Yarrowia lipolytica: one gene and its partner. The protein of the gene in region 1 binds, or shares a complex with, the protein of each later gene. Links are inferred from orthologs where the notes say so. Each region holds a gene or a part of one and is shown in the gene's direction. Other genes may lie near its edges.

Region 1 (3,789 bases):
CATATATATTACAAACCTCCTTCCCATGCTACTCCAGGTTGGCAGACAGCTCGGCCAGGGCCTTTCGGGCCTCGTCTCTCTCCTTGGTCAGACGAGCAACCACTCGGACGGCCGCGTCCTGCTTGTAGAGAGCGGTACTGAGCTCAGTCTTGGTTTCTTGCAGCTGCTGGCGCAGCGAAAACACTTCTTGGGCGGTTGCATCCCATTCGTTCTGGAATGCCTGCAGAAGCGACGGGATGGATGTATATTGTGGCGGCTTGGGTCGTGTGGGCGTGTTGGTGTTAACCTCTAGCAGATCTTCCACCATCAGATCTTCTCCATTGATGGGATCTTTGCCGTTTTCCTGGACATATGTCTCGATGAGCCGGCGCTCGAAGATGTGACCGGACTTGGGCGACAGAACGGGCTCCTGCGCGGGTTCTCCAGAAATCGAGCAGATCATTGTTGTTGAAGCAGTATTATAGTGGTGATAATTAGAGGTGGTTGGTTGCAGGTCGCGGTGTTCGAATCCGGCCAGTGTTCGATTTTGTAGTGGTATTTTACAAGTCGATGTATATGAGTCAACTCTAGTCCAAATAGGCTTCACGGGCACAATAACAGCCATTTACATGAGGTAAATAGAAGAGATATAGGGAGAACAGAGGAGAAAGAGTGGGTGTGAAAAGTCGGAAATTTTTGATGGTCACATAATATACACGCGTACACAAGCCATTCCACAATTGTGGATTGCCCAAAACGAACACAGAAAACGCGCTTCTTGGCCCGCCAAGTAGTCCGTCAGTCCTTCCATGCGCACATCACATGACTGTCAGGTACCAGTACAGCACTGTACGCCTGAAGATGGCCATGGCTGAAAACCTAGGAGCAGTTTAGGAAAGGGAGATTTGCATGATGGACACTAATGAGCGACGGAAAGACGCAGCACGGTCACATGACGAGAGGGAAGTGTCCATAGTACCTGTATCCATCGATTGTAATTACCGGTACAGTACCAGAAGCTGTTGCACCGTATACCGCGTTCCAGGCACGGCTCATTCGTGCATTATTCACCTCACCCTTTAGCTCTGCACATTAACTCTCTTGTGATAGGTGAAGCAAATATAGGGGACAAGAGGAGGGCGCAACATGCTACGCTATGGAGAATATATATGGGCGTTGTATTGAAGGCAAAAAAAGCTCCGTCGAGTCGAGTGAGTCGAACACGAGTTATTCGCAATCGATATGCCCCCGTTTAGTACGCCACGGCCCCTTTATCTGGGCAGTGGAATGGGAGCCATATTTTTTATCGCATTTGACTTTGTATTGATCTTTTTTTTTCCACCCACACTTTTCGTTTTTGGCGCTTCTCCCACCACTCTTGGTGCGGATTTTCTCCCACTCTGACATATAGTAGCGTGGTGGAGACGAGAAGCGCAGTAGATTAAGGGGCGACGGTTTATATATGCGAGGCCACAAAAAGAAGGTAGCTACAGAGACCAACTTGTCCTAAAGCCACGCTATATATATATGCCCTCCTATGGCACTATGACGATATTTGCGTCGCCACGTCACAACCTGTGGACGTGCATGCCAGTGGGTAGAGTTTCAAATTGTCTTTTTTCTGCACGACGCACTTCAACGTCTGGCGACGACACACAAAACACACGATAGTGGTTTGAGGAGATACGGGGGTCAGTGGAAGACAGTTTTTACGCGACCGACACGACGACAAACCAAGCGACAAGACCAAAGAAAAACGCCACACCCAAACTCACACCAAGTTTTCACATCACATACAACTTCTGTCATCCAAACAGACACACAACGTCTCAATGACACTACCAAAATCCAACATGTTTGACCGCAACCAAGGCGGACTGGCCCCGTCGACTCGCAAAACGCTGGGCCTGGTTTCAGTGTTTGGCACAGCATTATATCTATGCCTGAGCATTCTCTCATGGGTATTTTCTGGCGAGCTGGCGCTCGTTCCCTTCACCTCCTCCAGCTTGCCTCCCATGGCCGATCTGGGCATCGACAGCGTGCACCACTACGATCTGGCAGACTACACAGGCAGCGCACGGGGCCAGGACCGCAACGAGCGAGTGCTGTTCCTGGTGCCTCTCAGAGATGCCGCAGCCCACCTGCCCATGCTGTTCGCCCACATGGACAAGATGACATACCCCCACGTGCTGATAGATCTGGCGTTTCTGGTGTCCGATTCCAAGGACGACACCATGGGAGTGTTGCTCAAGGAGCTCAACACGCTGCAGAGCAACCGAGACGTGTCCAAGCGGTTCGGTAGCATTGAGATCTTCGAGAAGGATTTTGGCCAGGCCGTTGGCCAGGGATTTTCTGACCGTCACGGCTTCGAGGCCCAGGGTCCCCGACGAAAGCTCATGGCTCGTGCTCGAAACTGGCTGCTGTCCGTGGCTCTCAGACCCGATCACTCGTGGGTCTACTGGCGAGACGCCGACGTGGAAAAGGTGCCCACTACCATCATGGAGGATCTCATGAGCCACGACAAGGACGTGATTGTGCCCAATGTGTGGCGACCCCTGCCCGACTGGCTGGGCAACGAGCAGCCCTACGATCTCAACTCGTGGAAGGAGTCTGACGCCGGTCTCCGACTGGCTGACACTCTGGACGAAGACGCTGTTATCGTCGAAGGATACGCCGAGTACGCTACCTGGAGACCCCATCTTGCCTACCTGCGAGATCCCTTTGGTGATATTCACGTGGAAATGGAGCTGGACGGTATTGGAGGAGTTTCCATTCTTGCCAAGGCTGCTGTATTCCGACACGGCGCCCATTTCCCCGCATTTTCGTTCCAGAAGCACGCCGAGACCGAGGGGTTCGGCAAAATGTGCAAGCGAATGGGCATGTCTGTGGTTGGTCTTCCCCACTACACCATTTGGCACATTTACGAGCCCTCTGACGACGATCTGCGACACATGGAGTGGATGGCCCAGCAGGACGAGTTGCGGGAGAAGGAGCGAGTCCTCAAGGAGGCCCATGACAAGGTATGGCAGTCGGGCTTTGACAACGTCAAGCAGGAGTGGGAGCGAGAACGAGAGCTGATTCTCAAGAACGTTGAACTGGACTTTGACGTGCATCAAAAGGTTCGGGCCAAAAAGGCGGAGGAGCAGAGCAAGGCCGAAGCCAAGGTTCACGGCCCCGAGGAGGAAAAGGTGGTGCCTGGCGTGGGCAAGGCCGCTCTGCAGCCTGACGCCGTCAAGAAGGTGGTTCAGGGTTAATCAATGCATGTTTGAATAGATATAATTAATCACAGTTAGAAGATGTGGTGTGGTGGTTCAAATTTGTACTGGAATAAAGTGTTTGTGTTTTCTCATCAAGTGCCATACCAGTACAGTAACAAGTATGTACCAGCACAAGTACATGTACTGTACTCGTACTGGACGCTGTGCTGTAAGTTTTTTGCATGTTGAAGATGTGAGGAGCACCAGGAGCGAAACTCCAACTAATATCTAACTTGTAGACATTGCACGAGCAGAAATCCGCTCGGTTCAAATATGGCAAGAAGCAGAAACTGATGAGTTAGATAAGAAGGACTACAAGAAGAATGATATAGGAATAGTTGATACTATTTCTGATCATATTTTATAGTATCAACTATTCCTATTGTGTAATTCAGATCAAAGTGCTTGGTAGTCGACCCCCAACGTGTTCACTACAGTAGCGCTCTCTGGTTAGCATGTCAAACAGAGCTGAATATTTTCCTTCTCTTGAAGAACTTCGAGAATATTGAGAAGGAAGTCAAGATATTACCGCAAAATAACCTGGGTTTTGCTC
Region 2 (3,888 bases), on another chromosome or scaffold:
CGTCCGTCTGTAGGAAGAATTACAAACACGGGCTGTGATTATGTTATGCATGGAGCAGACTCGATCAAGGCATGTATTGGGCCCTTGACTTCATCTCCGAAGCTGCTGGAGTTATTCATGAAGGTCATGTCGGACGCAGAAGTCTGGAGATACGACCCCTTCACTGAACGGTCTATGTGGAATCCAGCTCTATTTCAAAAGAAGAAGCTAAGAGTGGGCTACTACGCTGACGACGGCTACGTTACTCCCCATCCCCCTGTCATTCGGGCTGTCAACGAGTACCTTGATAAGATCAAAAAGTTGAGCTTCAAGCATGTCGAGATCGAACTGGTTCCATTCACTCCTTACGACCCATCTGGAGCCGTCCATATCATCTCGTCGCTATACTTCCCCGACGGAGGAAAAGAGCTCAAAGAAGAGCTGTCCAGTGTTGGAGAATCTCTTACTGAAATGAGCAAAATGGCTCTAAATAACCCCAGCGTCCAGCGATTCAACATCGAGGAGCTCTGGAAAGCACACACTCAACGAGACACCTTCCGTTGGAACCTGATGCACGAGTGGACCAAGGCTGGAATCGACATGCTCATCACCCCGGTTCTGCCGGGAGCTGCCTTCAAGTTTGGAACTTGCAACTACTGGGGATACACAGCGTACTGGAATCTGGCGGATTACACTTCCGTGTCAGTCCCTTACTCGTCTGTCAAGGCTTCCGACAAGCCTGTGGAGGACTTCAAGCCCCGAAACAAGCTAGATGCCGAATGGCAGGCGTTGTATTCTCCCGAGACGTATGAAGGAGCTCCTCTTTCTATCCAGTTGATTGCTCCTCGAATGCAGGATGAGGTGGTTGTTGAGGCCTTAAAGTTGTTTTCCGATATCAATTAACGAATAGAACCAATACAGACAGTATATTAGTACAACAAAGCAACCAAGTAATGTGTAACCAATGACCGTTGAGCGTTATCTTACTCACTTTCAGTATGTCATAAGTTGGAACTTGCACAATATTGTCACAGTGAAATGATCCAAATCTATTCAAAGCTGAGATCACGTGACCACACAATGGGCACGTGACATTACCCCTTATTTTCTAGTTCCTTGTAGGCTGTACAAGTCAACAGTTGTTCCTACATGTATGATGCAGCACAGCCAGCTGGCGCGGCACAACTTTGTTGGCTGCGTCATACTCGTACAAGTACTGTAGCTCCGAGGTTGTTTTGGCAATAGAACGGCTGAATGGCTGAGTAATGATCTCCTTGTTTTTGGGTCTTTGGGATCTGTTTCGTTACATTGTAATGTTACAACAAGTTGTTATAGGTTGTATACGCACTGTAAGACACAGGTAATAGGACAGGCGAAATGAACGCTATTGGTTTAACTGTGTGATGCTGCTTAGTTTATGATGATGGACTTTGAATAATGTGATATTGTTTATACCGTTAGAATCTTCACAATTGGGGTATTTAATTGAACTATTTTTCCTGTCGCTATCACGTCTCTAGCACCCATTGATGTCGCCTTTTTATCGCTGTCACCTATAATATATGAAGAGGGTCTATTTTTGGGAGTTTTTATTCCTGTCGACTTTTTGCATCTGCGGACTTTCTTTTCTTATTTTTTTTTTTCTTAATTTTTTTTTTTTATGAACCGTTTTTTGCTCTCGGTGTGTGCCTTTATGTTTCTTTTGCGTGAGATGGGTGCAATACAACATTCGTAGGCGAGAGGTATAAGTAGTTACCAGTACATGTTGAAGTAGATTTAATGACAGAATGAATGCAACGAGGTGGCTACAACATCCTCAAAATATAAATAGCCATCCAATCCCTCTTATCGTGTTAATCTCTCGCATGTTACTTCATGTTAATTGTCTCGGAGAAGACGCACACACACACACACCACGCTACACACAAACTCGCGTAACTTTACACGTACATCAACTCTAGTGACATCGCACGTCGACACCCACTCGATACTTCGTCACACCATGGCTCTCATCACAGCTCGACGGGTGATTTTGCTGGGGCTCGCGGTCGCGACCGTGTGCTTCCTGTTTTTCGGGTCCAGTGAAAAAATTGCCCCCACGGTGCTACTGCCCGGCGATATGTCCGCTTTCGAAAACAAAATCTACAAGATGCGGGCGGAGACGGAAAAGGCGCTCAAGGAGCAGGAGGCAGCCGCGGCCAAGCGGTTCGATTCGTTCAACAAGAAGCTCAGCGAGCTGGAGACCGAAAACCGGGTGCTGGAGAAGGAGATCCAACGTCTTCGAACTCCTCCCCAGGGAGCGTCGCTCAGAGAAAAACTCGCATACACCTTCCCCTACGAGACGTACAAAAAGTTCCCTGCCTTCATCTGGCAGACGTGGAAGGACGAGATCACCGACGACACGCCCGACACGATCCGACAGCCGATCCGAACTTGGACGGAGAAGAACCCCAGCTTTGTCCACGAGGTGCTGACCGATGACGCAGCAGCAATGTTTGTACAGCACCTGTATGCTCAGATCCCTGAGGTGGTGGAGGCGTACAAGGCCATGCCTAAAAACATTCTGCGGGCCGACTTCTTCCGTTACCTGGTTCTGCTGGCTCGGGGAGGTGTCTACTCCGATGTCGACACTGAGGACCTCAAGCCCATCCCCAACTGGATCCCTGATGAGGTCTCCCCTTCCACTGTTGGTCTGATTGTCGGTATTGAGGCCGATCCCGACCGACCCGACTGGAAGGAGTGGTACGCTCGACGAATCCAGCTGTGCCAGTGGACAATCCAGGCCAAACCCGGTCACCCCGTTCTGCGAGACATTGTGGCCCGAATCGTGGAGAAGACGCTGGCCAAGAAGCGAAGTGGTACTCTGGAGATGGCTGGCGACAAGACCGATGGCAGCGAGATCATGGACTGGACCGGGCCCGGAGTGTGGACCGACTCTGTCTTCGACTACTTCAACGACCGAAAGAAGTCGGGACTCAAGTCGCAGGTCGGCATCAAGGACTTTTTCAACCTCAAGACCCCCAAGCACGTGTCGGACGTGTTGGTTCTGCCCGTGACGTCGTTCTCTCCCGGTGTCGACCAGTTTGGCGCCAAAGATACAGACGACCCGCTGGCCTTTGTCAAGCATCTGTTTTCCGGTTCATGGAAGCCCGAGGACGAGAGAATGAACCAGAACCAGCCGCAGGTCAATCAGTAGCTAGCATAATAGATTTGGGAAGAGTGAGAGAGATTCGAGGGCAAAGGTCCGAGAGTCTCCAATCAACAGTAGGAGGAGAGGCGAGCCTGTGTTCCGACCGTGGGAACTTACAGAACTGTGCAAGATCAAGCCTCGATCAACTCAGTAATTCTTGCCCGGCATTGCGACTTACACATACAGTACATACAAGTATACAGAGTTCTTCCATATTACTTGAGAACAGAGATACAGCTAAAAGCGAGTCTCGAGAGTGTTGTAAATTTCTATTGGTGGATGAAGGGTCTCATTTGGTACGAAAGGATGGTCTTTGATATTCATATTGCTACCTTTTATACAGTAGCTATTTGAAAGAGTAAAAAATGGCGTATATCAGGAGGATGTGAATTAATCTGAATTGTTTGGTTTTCTCACGATTTAACCTCCATTATTTCATACAAATGCGATAGATTTAATAGGAGCTTTCCGACCTCAACAATGTGTTATTGTGGCAAATTGCTTCTCTCAGTTGACTCTCATTCAGTTGACTCTCATTCCGGCTTGCCCTCTAGAAGCCTTCCCTACATCTCTCGCCACGTGACCGTTATCGTGCATAAGCTTTGCCAAGTGAAAAAGCTCGGAATCATCTTTACCCTGAACACCACACCAAAGACATCGTATACAGCCGTTATCACCATGGGAAAGGCTGAGTTTGGAACTCCGAAATACATCGCCAA

The links.
Region 2: YALI1_C05264g (region 1) and YALI1_F10633g share a complex: the UniProt entries of both Saccharomyces cerevisiae proteins name them as parts of the M-Pol II complex. The link is inferred for Yarrowia lipolytica from reciprocal best matches to the Saccharomyces cerevisiae genes ANP1 and HOC1.

The regions. Positions count from the first base shown.
Region 1 is NC_090772.1:524,615-528,403, forward strand, and holds YALI1_C05264g (uncharacterized protein), read left to right. Parts: upstream 1-1,811; coding exon 1,812-3,233; downstream 3,234-3,789. Other genes in the region: YALI1_C05252g (uncharacterized protein), read right to left, coding at 29-604. UniProt on the Saccharomyces cerevisiae protein: Involved in the organization of the secretory pathway. Required to maintain a functional Golgi apparatus.
Region 2 is NC_090775.1:1,061,415-1,065,302, reverse strand, and holds YALI1_F10633g (uncharacterized protein), read left to right. Parts: upstream 1-1,981; coding exon 1,982-3,175; downstream 3,176-3,888. Other genes in the region: YALI1_F10660g (uncharacterized protein), read left to right, coding at 1-13; YALI1_F10652g (uncharacterized protein), read left to right, coding at 46-882; YALI1_F10616g (uncharacterized protein), read left to right, coding at 3,650-3,888. UniProt on the Saccharomyces cerevisiae protein: The M-Pol II complex possesses alpha-1,6-mannosyltransferase activity and is probably involved in the elongation of the mannan backbone of N-linked glycans on cell wall and periplasmic proteins.